Lepisosteus oculatus: one gene and its partners. The protein of the gene in region 2 interacts with the protein of the main gene of each other region in a pairwise test. Links are inferred from orthologs where the notes say so. Each region holds a gene or a part of one and is shown on either strand. Other genes may lie near its edges. The genes, in order: impa2, uba3 and cpne2.

The links.
Region 1: the proteins of uba3 (region 2) and impa2 interact in binary tests that used the Homo sapiens proteins (3 or more experiments, as listed by UniProt). The two-hybrid records come from large-scale screens. The link is inferred for Lepisosteus oculatus from reciprocal best matches to the Homo sapiens genes UBA3 and IMPA2.
Region 3: the proteins of uba3 (region 2) and cpne2 interact in binary tests that used the Homo sapiens proteins (3 or more experiments, as listed by UniProt). The two-hybrid records come from large-scale screens. The link is inferred for Lepisosteus oculatus from reciprocal best matches to the Homo sapiens genes UBA3 and CPNE2.

The regions. Positions count from the first base shown.
Region 1 is NC_090701.1:57,182,112-57,186,536, forward strand, and holds the start of impa2 (inositol monophosphatase 2), read left to right. Parts: upstream 1-1,601; 5' UTR 1,602-1,687; exon of another isoform or gene 1,688-1,750; intron 1,751-1,965; 5' UTR 1,966-1,971; coding exon 1,972-2,049; intron 2,050-3,792; coding exon 3,793-3,926; intron 3,927-4,425. UniProt on the Homo sapiens protein: Phosphatase that can use myo-inositol monophosphates, myo-inositol 1,4-diphosphate, scyllo-inositol-1,4-diphosphate, glucose-1-phosphate, beta-glycerophosphate and 2'-AMP as substrates in vitro.
Region 2 is NC_090699.1:50,388,022-50,392,446, reverse strand, and holds the start of uba3 (NEDD8-activating enzyme E1 catalytic subunit), read left to right. Parts: upstream 1-1,725; 5' UTR 1,726-1,759; coding exon 1,760-1,779; intron 1,780-1,897; coding exon 1,898-1,936; intron 1,937-3,082; coding exon 3,083-3,203; intron 3,204-3,767; coding exon 3,768-3,848; intron 3,849-4,425. UniProt on the Homo sapiens protein: Catalytic subunit of the dimeric UBA3-NAE1 E1 enzyme. E1 activates NEDD8 by first adenylating its C-terminal glycine residue with ATP, thereafter linking this residue to the side chain of the catalytic cysteine, yielding a NEDD8-UBA3 thioester and free AMP.
Region 3 is NC_090715.1:1,261,887-1,266,311, forward strand, and holds the start of cpne2 (copine-2), read left to right. Parts: upstream 1-1,595; 5' UTR 1,596-1,646; coding exon 1,647-1,692; intron 1,693-3,902; exon of another isoform or gene 3,903-4,037; intron 4,038-4,425.

The DNA of each region.
Region 1 (4,425 bases), on a different chromosome or scaffold from region 2:
ATTTGGTTGAAGCTGGAGCCCTCTCCTGGAGATGACATGTCATTTTGTTAGCTGTAGCTTTTATACAGTATGTACAGTATATTAAGTTATCTTGTCCATCTATTAGGATTTTTTAACAAAAGACTAAAATTCATGTTTTTAGTGTTGCTGTGGTTGTGATTTTGATTAGATTAAGCTCATTAGTTTTCATTCATGACAAAATGTTTGCTGCTGCTAAACATTTCACATGCACAAAACTAATTATCTTCCTGGAACAAAGCCAGGAACACGGTTCTGGTCAAGTGTACACTTTGAATCACAGTGTAGAAACTACACTATCAGTACGCGTGAAGCACATTGTCAGTGGGAGTTTATAATAGAGGTCAGGAGTGAGGTCTAACCCTAGTCTCACCCACGTACATATCTGATTTCTTGCTTACTCCCTGGTGCCTTTCATTGTGTGAGACCCAAGCGTTTTCAGGACCAAAGGTTCGAATCTCCCCTTCAGCTTTCAAAGATCACCTCCTCGGGGCAGCTGACAGCTTCGTCCTGCACAGACAGGCTGTCGTTTTTCCTCAGCCAAGAGAGTAACACTCGTGTGAGCTCGCCAATTCAAATCACGCCTCGACTCCAATCATCCCGCCATCCTCATCCTATACAGGATCACGGGGGGAGCCGGAGCCTATCCCAAAAGGCACCAGGCGCAAGGCAGGATATACCCTGGAGGAGACACCAGTCCAACACAGGGCACACACTCAGACTAGGGCCAGTTTTCCCAGAAGTCAACTAACCTACCAGCATGTCCTCAGACTGTGGGAAGAAACCCTTGGCAGACAGCACCCCAGCTCCAGAATCGAACCCAGTGCTGTAAAGCACTAAAGCAGACCACTGTGCCACCTTATAATCTACCTGTTTGAAATAATTTTCTCTTATACAGAATGTATTTATATTTTATATTATTTTGCTGAGTTAATATAGATTCCCTAACTAGTACTGTGGTTCCATGTTTACATGCAATACAACTTCTCTGCTTTTTAGGTCAGGTAGAAAATGTTACTTAAAACATTCAGATCATTTTACAGATTAACTCAATGTTTAAAATTGCATTTGATTTAATTACGTTTTAACAGAAATATGTAAACATTATGTCCTGGGGCTCCATCAGCTTTTTTTTAAAGTGTGAGGTACTTCAATTTCCTGTATGCGAGTTTTATCAAACACAATACCAAACTACTTCATCGATCTTATCTATAAATTTCGAACATACAAAAAATGTGTAATTATTGGTAATTCAAAAATGATATGACACAACACTACTGATTCACCTTCTTATGGTATTTGTTTCACTCATTTTATTGGGATTTTTGTTTTTGCTTAGCAACGTATTGAATTGAAATAAACAGGCAGTATTACTACGCTTTATTTCGTGAAGTCATTTTTTTTTAAAAAAAAAGGATTACTGGATTTAAATGCAAAAAAAAAGTGTGTTGATGCAGGATTAAAATGTAAACATTGATTTGGACATTACATGGTTTAATAAATACCCATTACATAAATTTGTAGCTGCGCAGCTCCGATTTCTGTCATGTGACAAACTAAGAAGGTCAAGCCTGCTGCGTACCTTCATTTCAGAGTGATTATGTTATGTTTCCCCAGACCCGTTTCTAAATCTCGGCATTCATTAATGTGAAGCTGACGTTGATCGGCGGTACTGCTGCTCGCCTTTCTGTTTTTACTCCAATACAGGCCGTAGGTGCCGAGATGCAGATCGGTGTGTAGCTGGAGCACATTACTGGAAACTGAGTAGCCAAGGTTTGGGGGCGGTCTCTTCACATAACGGGGGAAGTCAGCAGCGATCAACCTAGACCAGGAAAAAAAACAAAAAACCGCGGGTTGTGCTGTGATGTTTTGATCGCCTCGAAGGGGGAAATACTGCTTGAATCGGAACGTATTTAAAGTCTGGAAATATCTCCATATTATTGGCAGGGAATCATGACTTCAGCGGAGAACAACAGGCACTGGGAGGAATGCATGGAGTTTGCTGTTCAAACAGCGCGTAGAGCTGGTCAGGTACAGTCCTTTTCAGAGCTTGGTTATCTCTAGGATGCATCGAGGAACACTAAATACATATTTACCTACATTTGAGTTGTGTGTATTCCAGCGGTACTATCCCAGAGTATGTATTTAATATTATTGTAGGGTACCTTCCCCGGGATCAAAAATGCGTTGGCGTGCTTTTTGATCATTTAGAATGATGCAATGATCAGCGCAGTTTTCGAAACTTTAGCCCAAAACACCAGTCATGCGTGGCAACAATTGTTTTGTGTGGTCCATTTTGTGTACACCACTAGATATTTGTTACAAGTCATACTTAGATACTGTGTCAAAGAACGTAATTCGAAAAAAATGTGGTGTCCTGTACCATAAGGTAGCTAGCCGGTCTTGCATCTTAATAATTATATTGTGTTACAGAAACGCGAAGAGTAAAATTGATCCTGTAATAAACCGGGGGAGCTTTGTTCATACATACAGGCAATTGCAGGAGATCGTGGAAGTGAAGATGACGAGGGGTTAAAATTAATGGCTTCCGTTGTGTGTGTGTGTGTTTTTATTTCGCTATACTGCCAGAGATGAAACCCATTTGGTAAATTATTCCAGACTGAATAATTGAATCGACTGGAGTGGGGAGCACTTGTTGTGTATTAGGAGTGTGACTGGGACTGCTGATTGCCCGTGTGGTTCCGTTTCCCAGATGACAAAGCTGTGAGCTGGCTAAGCTGGGCTCGGAAATTGTGCAAGGATGCAGCACAGTGACTTTTGCTGGAGTGGGACCGCAGGGTTCCATTTCATATTGCATTTTAAACTACTGTATATTCATTTTAGACCGTGTCCCCTCTTCCCATAGCAAGTCATATGGGCATAATTAATGACCAGTGGACGGCTCAATTCGGTATTCATTCTGATAGATGCCTGTGTCCATCATATGAAACAATGAGGTCATTTCCTGACGTCTTTTCATTGTGACTTTGTGATCGGAAATGTGTATTTTAACCGTGAATTCTGTTAAATTATGCCGTGCATAACGCAATATGGCTATGTTGTAGATTTCAGGTATGATATTTTCTTTCTAGATTGCTTTCCAAATCGCTGATGAAAACTTGATCTAGTAAATCGCTGTGCTCTCGCTTTACCAACTTGTAGCCTGATCTGCTCAGATACCACAAGCTAAGTAAGGAGATATCAGGATGGAGAACCTCAGGAAAATTAGGTGGTTTTTTTTTTGGTGGTTTTGGTGGATGAGTAGATGGAGCTCTTCCTTCTGGACCAGAATGTCCTTTGGATGGAAATTTAAACGAATCTCCTGATTACGTGGTTATTAATATGAGTAAGTAACTGGGTGTTAAGTTTGGTTTCCCAGCTAAATTCCACTTTGGGCTTTTTCAATCCGGCCTACATAAAGTTCCTCATTAATCCAGCATTTTTTTGACGGTATTACTCACTTCTCCACCGATGCTGGGTAATGGGTCTCTATAGTGCTTGATGGCTGCTGTCCGGTGTCAGCCGTGCAGTCCTGGTTTAATTAAGCCTCTTTCTACGTGTATGAAACTAGTTATAAACTGAAGATTTTTTTTATTAATTAAAACTGAACGTTTTGTTTCCTCGGAGATTAAGACGTTTTTTAGGAAGACTTGATTTAGGAAAAAGTAGAGTTTTCAGTCATTCTTAAATGAGGTTTACTGTGTTTGATTTTCCGGGAGCGCTCCTACTGGAAGTGAGGCTTTAGTGACGTTCTGGTGCCTGTTCTGGTTCCAGGTGATCCGGGAGGCGGTGAAGCTTGACAAGTGCGTGACGACGAAGAGCTCGGCTGTGGACCTGGTGACCGAGACGGACCAGCAGGTGGAGGAGCTCATTATCTCCACTCTCAGGGACAGGTACCCTTCCCACAGGTAGGTGTTGCACCGCGCACGGCAGCGCACGCTCACACGCGCAGGGGAGCAGAGGAGTGTGGCAGTCCTGCGGCCACAACATGCCACGACAGCTCGTCCTTGTGTTTCTTGCATCAGTACCACAGCTGGAATTGAAGTGACACACACTGTAAAACCTCCACACCTCCCCCACAGAGTAGACTGAATGTCCAGGTAAGCTCTGCGTTATATTATGTGATTCAGAACGAGGCAGCAAATCCACTGGTGAAGTGAGGCGGCCTTACTTCAATGTAAACGAGCAGGCTTGTGAATACAGCTCCTTTAGAGATATTGCTCTCCACTTCGAGACAGTTTTGCCGACAGATACTACTTGTTGACTGTGCTTGCAGGTCACGTTGGAACACTTCTGTGGTCAGATGTGTGCTGCATAACCTGTACTTATTGGCTCGAACATCGCAGCGCAGTAGTCATTACCGTGACTAGTGAACAGGAAGGGCCGATTCGCGCCGTACTTTAACGA
Region 2 (4,425 bases):
CTGGCGGTGGGTTTTAGACAGTGTACTGAAAACTGCATTAATGAAGCAGACGTTTACGTTACCCGGAATTAAAAAGTAAAGATCACAAAGAATTAGGGTAAATGGTCTTTTATCAAAGTTGCTATGTTCTGTGCTATTGCCCATCCTGTACATTCTGCATACTGACTGCTGTAGGTCTTTTGAGAAAAAAACAGGTGTTTAAGTCTGCTCCTAGACATGGGCCTGAAATGGAGTATTTTGTTGACTGGTGTAACAACTCCTGTCTTCAACTTAATGTATCAAAAACCAAAGGCATGATCATTGATTAAGAAAACAACCACCAGCTGCGAAACCAAAAGTTATCGAAGGTCTGAAACTGAATAGTCATATATTACTCTTATCTTGGCACTAGTGTTAATTACAAACTAACCTTTGAGAAAAACACATGCCATATGTAAGAAGACTCCACTCTATTAATTTGGGTGCTACAACTATCACTTTATCCCAAGGAACTTTCATTGAATTTGCCCTGTTCTCTGTGGTAGATTGATTTGGTAACCTTAATAAACACAATAAAATCAGACTGAGCAGGACAGTGTAGCTAAGGTAGCCAACAACATAATTGGTGGATGACAGCTACAGCTGTCAGACAACCAGGGACGGATTTTGTTGTTTGTAGGCTCTAGGCACTTTCACGCCGAAATGTGCAAAAAGAGGAGTATATGCCAATTGAATTACGTTGATTTACATGATGCACTTTAAACTATTCTAATGCTAAACCACGTGATTGATGGAGCGAGTTGAGCGACCATCACTCGATACTTCTAGTTTCTAGAACAGCCGCTAGATAGCGTAAGATTATTGATTGGGAGCACGTAGAGTCGATCACAAGCATATTGTTTCAGCTCATTTTTCATTAGTCACTAGTGTTTTCCACCTTCGTAGGCACTAAAAAGATTATAGGCCCCAGGTACTGTGCCTACAGTGCCTTGTGCGAAATGCGGCACTGCAGACATCTACATCAGACAAATAGTGTGTCTATCATGGACTGTCATTACTACCCCTTGTATAGTGAATTTGAGCTCCTTCCATCTGGGGACTGATTTAGACTCAAATGCAATAGAACTACATTATCTTTTAATCCAATGGCTAATAACTTGCTTAATTTGGACAATTGATTGTATATTTTATTTTACTTATATATATATTTTCTTATTTATTTATGAATTCATGTTGTATTACTGTACCTTGTTGTTTTTTACCAGACCATGAAGCAAATTTTCCATCTGGGGCAATAACAGTAAGTATCTCAAGAGTTCTGTATCTTAGATTTCTTCTTTTATTTAAGGTGATCTCAGATGTTTTCATATACTGTACATTGTAAGGAAAGGCAGGGTAAGACAAGGTGTGGTTGCTAGATCTTCTGGGTTTTATTCCACACTGGAGTGACTTTTGTGTGGAGTTTGGTTGTTCTCATACTTTTATTTTTCCAAGTGGGTTGCTTTCCTGTCACCTTCCAAAAAAAGCTGTCTAGGTTGACTGGCGTCTCTAAAATGTTCACAGAACGTTTTATGTCACGTATGATCGGGGTGACGCGAACATTGCCAGCAACAAAAATCTTTCTGATGCCGTATAAATCTTGAACTGGTTGGTTGGGGCTGGACTGTTGGCTTGAATTGGCTTGAAAAATCTTTCCATTGTGCTGTTTCAAATCTCCCTCCCTCAAACAGCTGCAGCTCCTAACCACCGCGGCATTGTGGGAGGAGACGGAGCAGGAAATATGGCGGATGTGGAGGAACCGTAAGTATCCGTGAAAGGAGAGGACAGAGAGATCTGCAAATTAGTGCTCATAATCTCATGTATTACCTGCTGAAAAAAAGAGAACACGATTGAACCTTCTTTTATTCTCTCTTTTTAGGGAGAAGAAAAGAAGGAGAGTAGAAGAGCAGACTGAGAAGTTAGTACTGAAATGCTAAAAATATATAAACTGCCAGCAGGTTTGAGGTTACACAGCGCACGGAGTAGTAGAGCATTAATGTGAAAATTCTTTTTTCCATTCGTTGACTGACACATTAATGTTTTGTCTATAAAAGGACGGAAAATTGAAATATTCTAAAATTTACAGTCGATTATAGTAAGGCCTCAGGCTGCTCAAATGTATCGCAGTTTATAGTCACGCTTATAGTAACTAGTTACATGTTTTTAATAACGTGTTCATAAGGAATTTTCACATCTTAATGTTGCGCTCGTTTCTTATTTCGACTGCTATTTAATTAACTCCATTCTTTTATAGAAACATTGCATATAAATTAAAATTATACAATAGCTGTAATACAGGCCTCTACCGATTTCTAATTGTGTTGTTTGGTTACATTGTTTTGTAAACTTTCAAAAGGGAATATATTAAACATAACGTGCTTGTTTTATCAGGATTGTGATAACGATGTTTAGGCTGGAATAGTAACTGTTACACCCCAACAGTTGTTATTGTGAATAGCATGTCAACCAGTAATATATCTGGAGAATTAATCAAAACGTACCAGACAGATAATTATTTCTATTAATTAAAAAGATTCTTAACCCTATTTATTGATAAACGTTCTTCTGGCAAATTTAGTTTCCTCTTGGTAACAGTAATGTCTTAAACAGACTTTATACATAATAAATAAGTTAAACAAGCGTAATTATGGTCAAATACCATCTTATTACAACCTCTGTTGTATTTTGCCAAAAAAAAAATGTACCTTAGGTGTGGTTACTGTGCGATTGGTCAATGTATGTAGGTACTTAAAGCTACATATTCTGAAGTTATTTGTGTCTGAAAGGATAATATATATTTTTATTTATGATATACCTACATTGACATTTGAAGTATTAAAAAAATGGTACAATAGTACAAATAAAGGTACAAGTTTAGATGTTTGACCAACAATGTACTGCGTACTCAAAAGCTAACAATACCAGTTAGCCTGTAAGTTAAAGTCTTTGCACACGCTGCCAACTTTGGTATTGTGTTTTCAAACTACAGGCATTGTGAGCACAGCAGACACGCAAGTTGTTTTCCAACTGATGTTTGTAGCTGAGTTCCTTGTGTTCTGTGCAGAATGGCTGTGGATGGTGGGTGTGGGGACAATGGAGACTGGGCAGGTCGCTGGAGCCATGTCAAGAAGTTTCTCGAGCGCTCAGGACCATTTACACACCCCGATTTTGAACCAAGCACTGACGTGAGACAACTCCACTTTCTCCAGTTGTGTTTTGTACTGGGGGGGAAAGGAAAGCACAGCAAACGAACCCCCACAAGCTTTAAAATGTTGAATGTTTTGAATTACATTTCTTAGAAAATGCAGTTGACAGTTTTGCATGATTTCCATCACATAGTTTTAGTTCCACCTATACACATAAATTCTACAAATGGCTTCATACTGTATTATAAATACGATGCCATGAATTTAATACAAAAATGTTTGCTAACTCGGTACCAATTGATCATATAGTTGATATCAGTTGAAAAGCAGCCATTTAATTTACTAATAAAATAGTAAAAATCCAGTACACATTGTGGTCTTTATTTCAGACTCTACTTCTGTTTTACAATGTAACATGTTTAACATGGTAAAGTTAAAAGAAATCAACACTTAAAAGTGATATTTCCATTTTCAGTTTTAAAATACATTTTTACTCTTTTAATTATGGTCAGGTACATATTGTCACCTGTTCTTTTTAGTTCTGTATGCCATTTGTGTGCGTATTCATAGTAACTCTTTTCTGGTTTTGTGTTTTAACTATAGTCACTCCAGTTTTTATTGGACACATGCAAGATACTAGTCATTGGAGCTGGAGGGCTTGGATGTGAACTTCTTAAAAATCTGGTATGATGCTGATTCTTTTTTTTAAAAAAAACTTTAGATCAGTGTAAACTGGTGTGAAGTTAAGATCTTGTGTGTTTCAATGGGCAGTCAAATGCTTTGCATTGTTCTTAGGGTGAAAAAATGCAGGGAGCTTTGAACGCTTTGAATTTTTTTCATGATGATTGTTTTCTCCTTGATGCTTCTGTTCATGAAATATTTCATCTGGGAGCACAAATGTTTTAGAATGACTTCCTGAACTGCGAAATGCACGTATTAAAATGCTTCTTGTACATTTTTTCCATTTCATGAAGTCTTTTGCATGAATGTTCTTCACTTATAACCGGAAATTATGTTAAAATTATATTTAGAGAATAGGAAAGAAAGTTGAACAAAATGTACCTAACATTCACATACTTCAAACAGTAATTGTCAAATATCTGTGTTTGATAGATTGTTTCTCTTTCAGTATGAATGTCCACGTGCAGGAAAGTTTGGATGAAAACTGTTGTTTTACAATTTAAGCATTGTTGATTGCACTGTACTTTTTTTTGGAATAAGTGACTACTTAAATAAAACGCTGTTGGCATTTGTAAACCTT
Region 3 (4,425 bases), on a different chromosome or scaffold from region 2:
TGCCTCTTGGCTGTACATCATCTCACTGGCAATTTCGTCTGCGTCTTAAAGTTTTTGAGTCTCTCTGGGCCTGTAATAGTGTCTCAGGAGATGCCTGTTTCATCTCCTGTGAATGGTACAGTGTTTGATGCTAATGGCCTTGGGCCCGCAATCAATAAAGATTATTTTGCTCATCCAATACTGCACATAATTCTTTTTTAGTGACGTGGGACTGCTTTCAAATTAAATTGGGATGCATTTTACACACAGAGATAACAATAAGACTGCTGCTGCATCGCAGCTCAACCCATTACGCCGAGATGCATGAGCTCTGTTGCTGTATGATTTTCTCCCTGCGAGAGATACTGGCTCAGTGGCTCAGCGGGACCATTCCCGGAGGAGGCATTGAACATAGAGAGGATTTTACCAGGAGGAGACCAAGAGCTCTTCAGATAAACCACTGGAGGTTTTTCTTAATTGTTGTTCCTAAGTGCGCCTTGCGGTATGTCAGCTGACCATTAGAGTAGCACTCCAGAAAGGGTTGTGTTTTCAGACTCGTGTGATTCCATTTTTAGGTAATGGCTTTTTACAGCTCTTCTCTGGTGAATTAGCAGTGTTACTGCGTAATTCCAGTCACTGACTAGGCACTTCAGTCATCTTGTAAAGCAAGATCAAGGGAGCCTGATGTCTTCTCACCCTGCATGGCCTGTAATAGCACAGTGTTTCCCTTCTTCCCTACTGACCACACAGCACTCGCCAGCAGTCTGCAGCACATCTACCCGAGCAAAACCCAGTGTGGCTCATACAGCAAGTACATGGATCCACAGGGGAGACTCAGACAACAGGAAGTCCAGTTCCCGATGGATCTCTAGTTCATCAACACAAAGCACGAAACCAGAATATTTGGATACTCGTTTTTAGAAGCGTAGCCTGTCGTTTGATCTCGCGCGGCAGATTCCAAGCTGTGCAGCTGACAAGAAGGGCCTCAGCATGGCTCAACAGTGGAGGCCGAGAGAAGGATGTGAGCTCAGCGCTGCACTCTTCACTGTGTGCGAGTGTGAACAGGCTGGGCTCCATGTGGCATGGTGATACCAGGCGGCACCAGGTGTTTCGTTGATCCTCGTCTCTGAAATTTAGGACTTGTTCTAGGAACAAGTGCCAGTGTTTCCCTCGGGGAGTCTAGGAGCTTGTCCCCCGTGTACTGAGATCTGGGGTGCAGCCGGCACTCCTCAAGCCCCAGCAAACACCCCCCCCCCCCCCCCCCCAACACACACACCTCTTCACCTCCCCAGAATGAACCTGACACTGTTCTATTTCCGTTTAACCAACCACATGATAATGCACCACTTAAGGTGCAACCAGTAATTAAAACGGAGGTAAAAGGGATTTCAGTAGCCAGGTAAGTAGTGTTTACACGATGAGATTGTGCGAGGCAGAGTTTCCATTGAGCACTTTATGGTTTTGGAGATTATACCGTTGTTGTGTCTGGATTGAGTTTTCCATCACGTCACAGTCTCTAACTGGAGACTGTATCATGTAGGATGTAGCTATTATACCAAAGGTGCTACTTAAGACAGGGTTATATATAGTAGAGCAGTGGAGTTTGGCAGAAACAGTGCGTGTCTCCTGTGGATTCACCGAGGTCTGCCTGCTGGAGTGTGGATCTCATGATGCATATGCTGTTCGGATTGAAAGAATGCTTTGGAATAAGGGGTGAGTCTCCTGCAGTTTCACAGAACCCTGTCCTTGCTTCGGGAATTGAGCAGGATATTCTTTGCCTGTCACTGGAAATATCTGCAGGGACATAAAAAGTGTAACAAAATAGATCTGATCTTCAGTGATTTGGCCTCTCCAGGAACATGATCACTCAGTCTTTACCACTTTAACCTGGTAGATGCCTTCAGTGGTAGAAGGAGTGTTGTAAAAACGGAAGTATAGCTACGTATTTGTTTAAGAGCAGTTCATTGCTTTGCTGAAACACCAGGGATTGTATCTTGAAATAAATGTTGTGACTGAATAAAGTTGTGTATGTTACTGTTGGCTAGGCATGCTGAAAAAGAAACGTGAACATCCTTAGCCTTAAAGGAACAAGTACTAGGTTTATTCCATGCTGAAAAGAGATGGTTAGCTTATTTCTGTAAGTCTGAGATAGCGAGTACTAAGGTCTTGAAAGAGTTGAGTGTGAGCTCAGACAGCAGCTGTTTTTCTCTCTCCTGTTGGATAGTACAGAGAAACTTGCTCCTAATAGGGACTGAGGGAGATCGGTGTGCTGAACAGCCCTGCTCTGCCTGGAGGTTTCCGGACAGGATTCCCAAGTCCCAGGTGTTTTAACTTCTCCAGCAGGCAGTTCTGATCGGGGCAGTGAGCTGTGAGATCGCTTTGTCAGGCGGTCTGCAGTACCGTAGTCTGAAAGTGGTAGAGTTGTAATGAAGAGGTTACTGGGGCATCTCGACGGATCAGATCAGGAACATAACTCTCCCCCACACCTCCACCGTGCCCCTGACAGTATTTCAGGTCTCTTCTTCGTGGAGGCAGCTCTTTGTGGGGGTCTGGAACAAGATGTCCCGCCGTGTTGATGAAGCCGATACCCTGGCTTCTTTCAAGATGTGGCTGGATAAGCTCCTCCAGTCAGGACAGGAGGCACTACTTTACACAAGGGGTGGTGGGAGTGTGGAACAAGATGCCTAGCAGTAGTGTGAATCCAATATCCTGGGTTCCTATGAAAAATCATTGGATGAGAGCCTCAGCTCAATTAGCTACTGACTATCAAACAGGCTAGATGGGTGTCCATTCGCTGATATCTGTTGTTTCTAATGATCAGTACATTTATTTAGTTAACTTGTTTGTCTGTTTTTGGACAGACGCTGCTGGTTGCATCATATGTGATAACATGTTAATTATTCTTCTTCTGATTAGTTAAACTCCTGAAGGGTGAATTCTTCATGCCTTGGAGAGGATAATCGGTGCCCTAATTCTTAATCTGGTGAATGCTTTTCTGTTCTGCTGTTTGGAGAGAGCCAGAAACCACTGCTGACTTTTTAAACTGTGGGCTCAGTAAGTGCTTTCTCGCTGCTTCTCGCCGCAAAGCAAAATGTCAGAAACAAGTCTCTAAACCCACACAGGAGCGAGAGCTATATTAGACTGGCTGAGGTTTAGAGGATGTAGTTCAGATGGTTGTTATTAACAGCTTGTCTGTGAAAAGTGCTTTGATATATAGAGAGCAGCCCTGAAAATACAGGATGCTAAGGGGTCTAACATTCACCTGTTTTGTTTAATAATCTGAACAGAAATTCTCCTGTACCTAAGCAAACGTACATTTCAGTGCCTTTTGTAATTGCTGTTCTATTTTGCAAGAGTAAAAGGAAGAGAAAGCAGGAAAGAATGCACTTGCCGCACGAAGAGGTGTTTGTGGCGGAGTGTGTCAGGAGCTCTTTCTCCACAGGAGCCCCGTGTGCCCAGGTGGTGCTTTTTCTACACCGCAGGTCAGGCTCTGAAGAAAAACACCCCCGAGGATGGACCTGGGGGGTTGAGCTGTTAGATTTTCATTTTATCTCATTTGCCTCTCTTGCGCTTGATGGTTTGATCATTGACTAAAAGCTAAGTGTTTATCTGGTGCTGCTGTCTTCGTGTCTTTCTAGCTGGATATGCAGTGGGCAGAGGCTCAAAGTTCGGCTTGTGGCGAGTGGGTGTGTTCCCTTGCCTTGCACCTGGGCTCTGTTGCAGTCAGTCATTGATGTGGTGTGGAGCTATTTTCAGCACAGGCTCAGACTGTTGCAATCAGATGGCATAACACTTTGAAAACATGGGTTTGTGCGTGCGTGTGTGCGTGCGCTGTTAGTGTTCACTGGTCTTCTGGGCGTGGCGGAGACTGAGCCTGCCTGATTGCATCACTCTGGGCTGGACTGCTCCTCCTGGTGCAAAGACGAGGCTTTTCAGCAACAGAACAGGTTTTCTAGAGCAGAATCACGTCCAGTCTTGTACCGCATTACACTGTGGATGGAATAAGGCGTAAAATAATTCTGAATTCTTAATGTACACATGAATTGACCAGCATGAAGGTTTTGTCCTTTTTCAAGAGTGGCCTTTAGCTTTAAAGATAATCTGTCATCTTTTTTCAGGGGCTGTATTACTGGCAAGCAGAGTGGAGCTGTGATCTCTTGCTCAGAGCTCAGGATCGCTGTCAGGCAGGGCTCGTCAGATCTGAAACACACGGATCTTTTAAATACTGTTTAATTGAACTAATAAAGCTGCCTATCAATGCAGTTACGACAAAGCTCAGGTAGAATGAAGCATTAAAGATGCTGTGGTCTTGGCGTACTGGAGTTCTGCACCACTGGAAGGCTGTGTATCAGTGCTACCTGCTTTTTATTTTTGCCGTTGTTGGTACAAAACACTGGAACAGTGTCTCTGCTGAGGGCGACTCATTGTGTCTCTGCTGTCTTCGCA